Macaca mulatta: one gene and its partners. The protein of the gene in region 2 binds, or shares a complex with, the protein of the main gene of each other region. Links are inferred from orthologs where the notes say so. Each region holds a gene or a part of one and is shown on either strand. Other genes may lie near its edges.

Evidence for each region. Proteins that work in one complex are often made in the same cells at the same time.
Region 1: QRSL1 (region 2) and GATC share a complex: the UniProt entries of both Homo sapiens proteins name them as parts of the heterotrimeric GatCAB amidotransferase (AdT) complex. The link is inferred for Macaca mulatta from reciprocal best matches to the Homo sapiens genes QRSL1 and GATC.
Region 3: QRSL1 (region 2) and GATB share a complex: the UniProt entries of both Homo sapiens proteins name them as parts of the heterotrimeric GatCAB amidotransferase (AdT) complex. The link is inferred for Macaca mulatta from reciprocal best matches to the Homo sapiens genes QRSL1 and GATB.

The regions. Positions count from the first base shown.
Region 1 is NC_133416.1:127,767,586-127,771,173, forward strand, and holds part of GATC (glutamyl-tRNA(Gln) amidotransferase subunit C, mitochondrial), read left to right. Parts: intron 1-1,448; coding exon 1,449-1,552; intron 1,553-3,588. UniProt on the Homo sapiens protein: Allows the formation of correctly charged Gln-tRNA(Gln) through the transamidation of misacylated Glu-tRNA(Gln) in the mitochondria. The reaction takes place in the presence of glutamine and ATP through an activated gamma-phospho-Glu-tRNA(Gln).
Region 2 is NC_133409.1:79,095,535-79,099,592, forward strand, and holds part of QRSL1 (glutamyl-tRNA(Gln) amidotransferase subunit A, mitochondrial), read right to left. Parts: intron 1,811-4,058; coding exon 1,634-1,810; intron 1-1,633. UniProt on the Homo sapiens protein: Allows the formation of correctly charged Gln-tRNA(Gln) through the transamidation of misacylated Glu-tRNA(Gln) in the mitochondria. The reaction takes place in the presence of glutamine and ATP through an activated gamma-phospho-Glu-tRNA(Gln).
Region 3 is NC_133410.1:160,272,041-160,275,340, forward strand, and holds the end of GATB (glutamyl-tRNA(Gln) amidotransferase subunit B, mitochondrial), read right to left. Parts: intron 2,991-3,300; coding exon 2,856-2,990; intron 1,392-2,855; coding exon 1,263-1,391; 3' UTR 952-1,262; downstream 1-951. UniProt on the Homo sapiens protein: Allows the formation of correctly charged Gln-tRNA(Gln) through the transamidation of misacylated Glu-tRNA(Gln) in the mitochondria. The reaction takes place in the presence of glutamine and ATP through an activated gamma-phospho-Glu-tRNA(Gln).

The sequences.
Region 1 (3,588 bases), on a different chromosome or scaffold from region 2:
GTGTCTAGCTTTGGGCTGGGTGCCACACAAAAAACGAACTAGTCCTTTCCTAAAATAATCTTATTGTGACAACTTAGTTTTTTTTTTTTTTTTTTTTTTTTTTGAGGTGGAGTCTTGCTCTGTCGCCCAGGCTGGAGTGGTGCAGTGGCGCGATCTTGACTCACTGCAAGCTTCGCCTCCCGGGTTCACGCCATTCTCCTGCCTCAGCCTCCCCAGTAGCTAGGACTACAGATGCCCGACACCAGGCCTGGCTAATTTTTTTGTATTTTTTAGTAGAGACGGAGCTTCACCATGTTAGCCAGGATGGTCTCGATCTCCTGACCTCGTGATCCGCCCGCCTCGGCCTCCCAAAGTGCTGGGATTACAGGCATGACACACTGTGCCCGGCCAACAACTTAGTTTTTAGGTGTAGCCTTAGCCCAGATGTTCCTGTCACATCTTTGTCCCTCTACGACATGACTCAAATGCCATTAGGGTCTGCCCTCAGTCTGTGCCCACTCAAAGCAGGAGCATAGCTACTACTGAATACTGTATCAGTGATATAACAAACTGCTTGTTTTTTTAGTCCAAGTATCTGGAAGCAGGTTTACACACTTTTACACCTTGAAACAATAGTGAAGCCTGATGCATATGTTCAAGCTCCTGTGTGTTTTTTACCAGTTTGCCATCTGAAGGCTTTAGTAAACTCACTAGGTCCCATAGAACACTGGGAGATTCTTGAGCTGTTTGTGACACATCTTGCTCAAGGGCAGCTGCACCCATCCACCAAAAAGGGGCTGTGGTGGAAAAAGCATTCATCTTACGGGTACCAGATTGGGCTCAGATCCCAGGTCTGTTACTTAGGAGCCAACATCCTTAAGTCACTCTTGAGGCAAGTTTGCTTCCCCATCTCTGCTTAGGTTTCTAGCTTCATCTTCCAACCCAGCAGACCACACCCCAGCCTGCTGAACTCCCTGTCCTTCTCTGAATCTCTGAGCTCTGGGTTCTCTTGCTTTGGGATTCATGCTGCTATACCTGCCAAGAAGTCCATTTCTCATACCTTCATCCCCCAATCCAGCTATTCTGAGGATGTGCTACTCACCCAGGCTAGACTAGGTACCCTTTCTATCCTTTGGCAGGCTGTGCTAACTTCTGTCAGATTTAAAATATTATTTTATAATTGCTTTTACCTGTCCCCACCAAAAGACAGTTGCCCATATAATCATCAAAAACTATTTGTTAAATCAATCCAGAGAAGTGATTAGCACTTACTTCTCAGGGTTGTTGGGACAATCTATAAACTGTACGCTGTTATTTGGTCTACTGTTGATCCCAGCTTCTCTATCTTTGAACAGTGCCCATTAACTCAAGAATATACTTCTTCCTTGTTCTCTCCTTCTTGCCCCTTCCACCATCCCCTAAAAGCCCCCTTCTCTGAGAGGGTAACCTTGAGCTTCTGGGTTTTGTAGATGTCTATACCTGAGATCCGACAATGTGGTAGAAGGCAATTGTGCTGATGAATTACTACAAAACTCCCATCGAGTCGTGGAGGAGTATTTTGTGGCCCCCCCAGGTAGGTGTTGCCCAGAGTGGTTTAACAGATAGTCTCACAGTGACCTTAGGAATGAAGCAGGAAGCGTGAGGACCAAAGATGCTATGTGAAGGCACTTTGAAAAGGATAAAGTGCATACAGATGGTGACATTAAGGTGGCGGTAGGGTCCAGGGTTATACCTCTAGGGGGCAGGTAGTAACAGGAATAAGCAAAACAGGATTGGGGGGAAGTGGGGTAAAGGTTTAGAGTGGATGGAAATCTGGAGCTCAAGATCTGCCTAAAGGGGCAGCTGACATTCTGTGTTTCTCAAAGCCACAGTTAAGACCATGCCAGATCCTGTAATCGGCTCCAACTTTCTAGTATTCATACCATGAATAAATATTTGTTAGGTCTAGCTTTGGGCTGGGTGCCACAAAATAACCGGTCCTTTCCTAAAAGAATCCTTTTTTTTTTGAGATGGAATTTAGCTCTTGTTGTCCAGGCTGGAGTGCAATGGTACAATCTCGGCTCACCACAACCTCCGCCTCTCGGGTTCAAGCGATTCTCCTGCCTCAGGCTCCCGAGTAGCTGGGATTACAGGCATGCACCACCATGCCTGGCTAATTTTTTGTATTTGTAGTAGAGGCAGGGTTCACCATGTTAGCCAGGATTATCTCGATCTCCCGACCTCAGGTATCCACCCACCTCAGCCTCCCAAAACGAATCTTTTGTGCGGCCTTAGCCCAGTTGTTTCTGTCATATCTTTGCCCCTCTATGACATGATTCAAATGCCATTAGGGTCTGCACTCAGTCTGTGCCCACTCAAAGCAGGAGGAGCATGGCTGCTACCCTATCAGTGGTGCCAGGCAGGAATGTAAACCCATTTCTCCAGAGAACCTGGATACCTGGCATTTTGTGTGATATTTCTTTTCTTTTCTTTTTTTTTGAGACGGAGTCTCGCTTGGTCGCCCAGGCTTTAGTGCAATCTTGGCTCACTGCAACCTTTGCCTCCCAGGTTCAAGCAATTCTCTGCCTCAGCCTGCCTGGTAGCTGGGATTACAAGTGCCTGCCACCATGCCTGGCTAATTTTTTTGTATTTTTAGTAGAGACGGGATTTTGCCAGCTTGGCCAGGCTAGTCTTGAACTCTTGACCTCGTGATCCACCCGCCTCAGCCTCCCAAAGTGCTGGGATTACAGGGGTGAGCGACTGCATCCCACTGATATTTCTTAAATTTTAAGCGCTGGCAACCAATTCAAGCCAAATTCACCGTCCAAGCCAAATAAAACACACCTGCAAGCCAGGTGCAGTCTGTGAGCCATCAGTTTACAACTGCTGGTGTAGAGATTTGCATCATCTACCTACTGTAAATATTTTAAATAGAAGCTTTAAAATTAATGTGGGCTGACCAGTAAAATCCAGAACCTTGGATAGGTTGACTGTTTTTATCTCCTCTGCAGGTAAGTGAGTACTGGAGTTGTACTACCCCTCTGGGCCTTTGGGAGTGGGACTAGCCAAAAGCAGTCAGGTAGACTGCTAAGTGCCAACTTCCAGTTCAGCATATCCCCTGAGGGAGAATCATTCTGAGCAGACTCCACATAAGACATTGGCCCTGGTCAACTCAAGGTGCCAGTTAAAGGCAGGCTCTGGTTGAAGCAAGGATGGGAAAGGCAGCTAGAAAATGTGTAAGCTAAACTTTTTTTTTTTTTTTTTGAGACGGAGTCTCGCTCTGTTGCCCAGGCTGGAGTGCAGTGGTGCGATCTTGGCTCACTGCAAGCTCCGCCTCCCAGGTTCATACCATTCTCCTGCCTCAGCCTCCTGAGTAGCTGGGACTACAGGCGCCCACCACCACACCCAGCTAATTTTTCGTATTTTTAGTAGAGATGGGGTTTCACTGTATTAGCCAGGATGGTCTTGATCTCCTGACCCCGTGAGCTGCCCGCCTCGGCCTTTCAAAGTGCTGGGATTACAGGTGTGAGCCACCGTGCCTGGCCATGAGCTACTTTTATCATGCCTCCAATCCACTAAATCACCTGTTAACTGTGGAGAGAAAGGAGACTCTCCATCTCAGAGCCTGAT
Region 2 (4,058 bases):
TGTTACTTTTAACAGAAATGGATTCTGCGACTTATTTTTCACTTAACATATTTATCTTGGTTATTTTTCCATGTCATTGCATGGTGCTCTGACTCATTCTTTTCAGTGGCTGCATAGTACTCCAGGAATCTTCCTGTTTTTAAAACGATCGCAAAAGAAACAAATCAAAAAGAGGGAAACAAATCAAAAAGGGGGAAACAAAAGCAGAACACTTTACAGTTTGACATACATTCAATCTGAAGTTATTTTTGGTCTGTGCTTCTATTGCTTATATTTAAAGTGAAGCTTTGGGCTGAACAATGCTCCTAACAATAACATGGCACTCAGAAAATGCAAATTATATTTCCTTCCTTACAGTGTCAAGTTAAGCTACAAAATCAGACTGTTGCTTTCACAATTTTAAAAGATACATTTTCTTATTAGCATTCACTGACGGCTGTGTAAAAGTAAAACTTACATTTCCATAGGAATTATGTGTCAAAGTGCCATCTACTCAAAGCACATTCAGAAAGATGAACACTAAGTGAGATGATGAGGACAGAAAAAAAGCACCTAATCCTGCAGTCCTAACTTGTCATAACTCACATTAATATTAATGCAATGCTATAAAATTCCACAGAGATCAAATGAAATGGTTTTACTTGTTAATAAGATTTTAGGAAAACTGAAAAAAAAATCTGCAGAACTCACATCTCCATAGCTCTAAAAATATATAAATAATTTATGGATTGCAATGTGTGTGAAAGAACTTAGTTTTAATGGATAATTAAGGGGAGATAAAATATAAAACTATTATTAAAGAAACACATTCATTTTGATTAAATTGAGACTGATAAATATAGCAATGGCCATATTTACTTTCTTTTCTTTGGGTAGTTAAGAAATGCTTTACAAATGGAACTGAAAATATCATCAATGGATTCTTACCAAATACAAAGGATGATAGATAAACAGAATCAGCACCTAAAGCTGGGAGGAGGGAGGAGCCAAGTACAGAAATAAAAATACATAAATAAAATAAAATACAAAGTACAGAAATAAAATAACTCCAATAATAACAATAAAAAAAATTCCTAAAGCTTGAGAAAACTTTACTTACTGATGTACATTTTTAATTGCAGATTTCTGAAAACACTATTTAAAATATCTTATTAATACATATTAGCATTTTTTTTCTTTTTTTTCCTTTTTTTTTTTTTCAAAAGTCTGACCTTGCTGAAGGATAAACATTACTAACAGTTTAGTTCAGCAGCACTCAACTAAAGTCATTGTATGTTAGTCCCTAAATATTTGTACAATCAGTGAGCACACACTGAAATTATTTAAAAATAAAATGCAATGAAGTTCATTTATGTTCAATGCTTTATTCTACAAGATCCACAAAATCATATTTTAAGAGAACCAGATACCATGGAGAAAAATTTATCTTAAATTAAAATTAAAAGTATTAAATATACATAGTGTACTGTACAGTTGAGTGCAACTACAAGATATAATTTTGATATACCTTTGAGCACATACAGCTCACTAAAAAGAAAAATACCGAGGTATGAACTAGTCTATTGCTGGACACACTTTACGACTGTTTGTATATGGGTGGGTTTTAAAATACAGATAGAGAAAAGCATCTTACGCGTAGCATGTGAACGCCGATACGGCAGCTGCACTCCCACCTGAGCTCCCTCCAGTTATCAGCCAGTCTGAATCTTCATTCTTGCTGTGGGGATTCTGCTTCCTCTTTTCTCTATATTGTTTCGAATAACTCCAGGGGTTTTTAACTGGTCCAAATATACCATCTGTGCTCCCAGATCTGATGAAGTGAAGCAAGATACCTTAGTAAAACTTTCATTTTTTGTGAAAATTTCATCTTCTGAGTATATTACTTGCTTCTGACACTCATTGAGCATTTAAGAACCCACTGTAGCTTGAATTGAAAAAGGTGGGAAGCCTGCTCACATGTAGCTTTCATTAATTGACAGTTGGGGAGGATGGGAAGGAAGAGCATTTGTGGAAGAAAGTAGAGAAAGCTAATCGGCTAAGAAAAGATTTTGTCTCATTTGATCATCCAATTCAACTGAAGATGATTTCCCCCTTGTGAATCAAGGTCTTCCAGCTGAAAAGGGTCATATTCAGTTTAAGTCTTCTGAGGAAATCTCTCCCTTAACCAGAAGTTCTATGGAAAACATTACAAGTGGAATGCTAATAACTTTCTTTTAAATTTTTGAAATGATTTTATTCTCAGATAAACTACAAAAATAAAAATAACATATAAAGCACTTTATACCCCTTACCCAGATGTACCTACGGTCAATATTTTATCCCATTTGCTTTACTACTTATGTGCTCTGTGTGTATATATATGTACATATATACACAAAGTATGATAGAAACTTAAGGGTATCTTAAGGGTCCAACTTATATACATCATAGCCCTTTATCCCTAAATACTTGAGTGTGTATTTCCTAAGAATAAGGATATCATGTTATACAGTCACAGTACAGTTATCAATCTCAGTAACATTAATATCAATACGTTTACCTAATCTACTGTACGTAATTCAATTATGTCAACTGATTCAATAATGTACTTTGGCCGGGCGCGATGGCTCACGCCTGTAATTCTCGCACTTTGGGAGGCCGAGGCGGGCAGATCACGGGGTCAGGAGACCATCCTGTCTAACACGGTGAAACCCCGTCTCTACTAAAACTACAAAAAATTAGCCAGGCGTGGTGGCGGGCACCTGTAGTCCCAGCTACTCGGGAGGCTGAGGCAGGAGAATGGCGTGAACCCGGGAGGGGGAGCTTGCAGTGAGCCGAGATGGCGCCAATGGACTCCAGCCTGGGCGACAGAGCCAGACTCCGTCTCAAAACAAACAAACAAAAAGAATTAATAATAATAATGTACTTTATGGCATTTTATCCCCTTCCTGGATCAAATCTAGAGTCAGGTCTTCCATTTAATTATCATTGTCTCTCTCTTTTTTTTTTTTTTTTGAGACATTCTCGCTCTATTGCCCAGGCTGGAGTGCAGTGGCGCAGATCTTGGCTCACTGCAAGCTCCATCTCCCGGTTTCAAGTGATCCAAGTTCAGGCGATTCTCGTGCCTCTCGAGTAGCTGGGACTACAGGCATCCACTACCACGCCTTGGCCTCCAAAAGTGCTGAGATTACAGGTGTGAGCCACTGTGCCCAGGCTCATTGTGATTTTAATTTTGAATTTCCCTAATGATCAAAGATATTAAGCAGTTTTTCATGTGTTTGTCAACTATGTTTTAATCTCTGATGAAATGTCTGTTTAAATCTTTTGTTCATTTTTTAAAAATACAGTTGCTTGTTTTGTTATTTTCTTATTGAGGTGGGAAATGTTCTATGTATTTTGGATATCAGTTCTTTCTGAGATACAAGTTTTGCAAATATTTTTCTCTCAGTCTGTGGCTGGCGTTTTCACTTTCTTAGTAGTATATTTCAAAGTACAGAAGTTCTTAATTTTAATGAAGTCTATCAATTTTTTAGTTCTTAATGAAGTCTATCAATTTTTTAAGTGGATTTGTGCTTCATGCGTCCTATCTAAAAGACCTTTGACTAATTCTAGGTCACAAATATTTTTCCCTGTCGTTTTAAATTGTTTTTTTCTGTAGAGACAGGGTCTCACTAGGTTGCCCAGGCTGGTCTAGGACTCCTGGCCTCAAGCAATTCTACTGCCTCAGTTTCCCACAGTGCTGAGATAACAGGCGTGAGCCACCAGGCCTGACCTCCCCCTAAATTTTCTTAAGTTTTATGATGTTAGGTTTTACTTTCTTTATCTCTTATCCTGGAAGATTTTCACAGCCCTCTTTTGTTTTCATATGATATTTTAATAGACTGGTTCTCATTTTGGATTTATCTTTTGTTTCCCCATTAGTAGAGTCAGGTTATACATTCTCAGCTGGAATATTACATAGGTGATATTATATCCTCAGACAATTACATCTGGAGGCACATAACGTCCACTTCACCCTCACTGGTGATGTTAATTTTGATCAGCTGATGAAGGCAATGTCCTAAAAGCCTTTGTTCAAA
Region 3 (3,300 bases), on a different chromosome or scaffold from region 2:
GTCCTGAGCAACTGTACAAGCCAGGAAGCATGAGTCGCTGAATTGGTGATGGAGGGGTGTCCACTTTTTTCTAGTTCCTCAGCTGCTTCTGGAGCAGCGTTCAAAACGGGAATATTTGTACTGTCCTTGGTAGGCTACAGGTTCACAGCTTCAAATCAAGGCCTCCAAGGATTTTCTTCTCTTACATCACGGTTTTGACAAGTACGCTTTTAAAAAACAACATTTGCAAAACTGGTCTTTAAGGACGTGAGTCAGAGGTAACAAAGGCATATACCGAATGAAGGTGTGCTCCGGTGCAGTGGAGAGAACAGTATGTGTCACAAGCACAGGGGTGCAGACAGTCCCACCTTCATTGTCATGCCTGCAGCGCACCACCATTATCGTGAAAGGTCAAGATTGTGATTTACTAATTTATAATCTTATTTCCAAGCAAAACAAGTCAATTTCATGTTACAACTTTTTTCTTGTTTCTTTTTATCTTGTTTGGCCTGAGGGTTGGGGGAGTTGGGGAGAGTTGTCAACTGCACAATCTTTGAAGTGTAAGTTAATTTTTATGTGATATTTCAGTATATATTTTATTGATTAAATTTATTTGAAAATTTACTTTTTAAAATTCATTTATTCTCAGACCTGCGCCTTCTGGGATGGGTAGGGAGTTGAACAGGCAGTATCACTTCTATTCAGTCAATAGGTTGATTAATTCTAATAATATCCTCCTTTCCCACCCTCTTGAGACATCCTTAAACAAATGTGTGTTTATACCGTGCCAGTTTATTTGGTTGTGTTTTCATCTTTGTTAACCTGTGTTTAGGTCTGAAAACAGTATATCCAAATTACAGTCTCTCTTGACCACTGCTAATGCCCACCACCTACGACAATGGCTGGCCCTTAGGAGTTGCTCAAAAATATTTGTTGAAGGAACTGCAGAATGAAAAGTTTTCTTAGAATGGGTAACAGTATCTCTAACATAACATTTTATTTAGTTTAAAATTCCTTAATACAAGAAGGTGTTACTCCTTAACCACTGCTACAGCCATCACCGGACCCTCCTGATGTGGATGAAGCAGGCGGGGGTGGCTGCCGGTTGGCTGTGGAGGCACCTCCAGGCACAGGGCCCAGAGGGTGAGAACACTGGTGATATATAACGCCACAGCTGTGGCTCGGGACAGGGACTGACAGGGCACATGGGCGTCAGCTTTCACAGGATCCTGCTGCCAGTCAGGCTGCACTGTTCTCCCTTGGGCATGGGGACCCCAAACATCTCACGAAGACAGCTTCTTCTCCAGGATCTCCTTTATCATGGCTGGATCTGCTCGGCTTTGGGTCGCTTTCCGGACCAACCCAATCAGTTTATTTATAGCTCTGGGGTTTCCCTTCTTCAAATCCATTACCTAGAAAGACAGAAATTACTTAAGAGGAGAAAATGAAGAGACTCATGCCCCCAAATCCCAAACTAAGGCTTACGTTTACTGAAAATTAAATTCCGCTTATTTCCACTAGTATTAGATATAAAAATGAAGAACAGAAAAAGGGGAGGGGCCTAACTTCTGAGTAGGTTTCTAGGCTCCTGTCAAAGGAGATTTTTGCTACTCTGCTTTCTGATTAAAATGAGCAAGAAGTGATTGCTGAAAGCCAGAGAAGCTGGCACGTGGGAGGCAGGGCCCTCTCCTCTGGGATGCCACAATGACCGGAGGATACTGAGTCTGGGGAGGGATAATCTCTCTGAGATGAATCACTGCATCTAATCAGTGAGGAGACCTGTCTGATTCTCAGTGACGTTCAGCTGAAATGTGCGGCTTTCCTTCTCCCCGTGCTCCCCACCACGAAGATCCCTTTATCAGAAAGCAGATCTACACACTGGCTAAGTCTTCCGGAGCACTGGGTCGGGGGAGTGTGCTGTGTGGGTGGGGGGAGTGAGGAAGCCAGGAGGCACTGAATTCTTATCAAATAGCCACTGACTGTTAGGGCCACCGCACGACCTCCTGCTCTGCAGCATCTCCAAGGGCAATGACATGAGGATCTGCACTCAAGTCCCGCAGAACAAGCCTGAAACTACTAGCACGTCTTTATCAGTCACCACAGATGAGGCAGGAAGACGAGGCTGCTGAGGCCCGGTGCAGGCTCACTTTCCTTATCGAGGGCTCTCTACAGAGCTGTAAGTGTCCCCGGGAAGCTGATGGGTGGGTGGGTATTATTCTGAGAAAGTGGCTCACAATTTTTTTCCCCACTGAAAAGTATCTCTAGACAATACGATAAGACTTGGGGAGGAAGGGATGCCACTTGTTTTAGCTTTTCTGTCTTGTGCTGTGCTAAGAACACAAAATGACCTGGTTTTCAGCCATGCTCCTGTCAGGGATTTTCTCCACAATTTATAAATACTTTTCCCTTCTGCCTTTCTTCCCACTTCTTAGAAGCATGAAGCCGAAGTTCCTGTACTCTCCTTGATCTGCAGGCACACCTGCTGGTTCCTTACTGGGAGGTCCTTAGGAAGTAGCGCTAACCACACCAGATTCGAAATGCCGACCCTGGGAGAGGGCGACACACCTGGGAGGTCACAGCTTGGATTTCGTGAGCTTGCTGACACCCTTTTAAATTACACCTCCATGGAGAGTAAACTCCAGGGGTGGTATCCTCCTTATAGGAAAAGAAGTTGTGTTTTTCCAATATCTACCTATTTCATCTCTTCTGACCTTAAATAAAAAGATGACAATGAGGGAATTGTAGATGAAACTGGGCCAGTCATTCTTAGGAAGAGCCTCTGGGCTGCCACAGAGAGTGATGGCGAGGCTCTTGGGCGTGTCCTGGGGCTGGCTCTGCAGGTGGCTCTGACCCTCTCCCCCGCCCGAGATAGTCACCACTTGAGGATGGGCCTCCATCATGGAGTGGCAGAGCTGCTCCAGTGCCCCCCGGTCCTCCATCAGTTCAAGCTGCTTTTCTGAAACAATCTGCCCTGGAGTCTTGCCTTCCCTCTTCCACAGTTCCTCAAACACCTACGGGCCAGAGAAGGGAGAGGAAAGAGAAATGAGAAGTCAGCTCTTCTGCCAGCTCCATTTGCACTGCCGTGCTGTGTAGAACTAGGGTGGGAATGAGCAGATTCAATTAAGACCCCGCTGCCTAGGCCTGGCCCGAAGGGAAAGGGCGCCTGGCTGCCCTGCCAGGGCCTTGGCTCTCCTGAGGCATCCCTGAGAGCAGGGCTGGGGAACAAGGCCAGCTAGGTGGAATGAACGCGCCTGGGGTCTCCTCCTGAGGCTGACGTCTCCCTCAGCACAGGGTATGAGAGGACTCGGGCCAGCCAGGTGC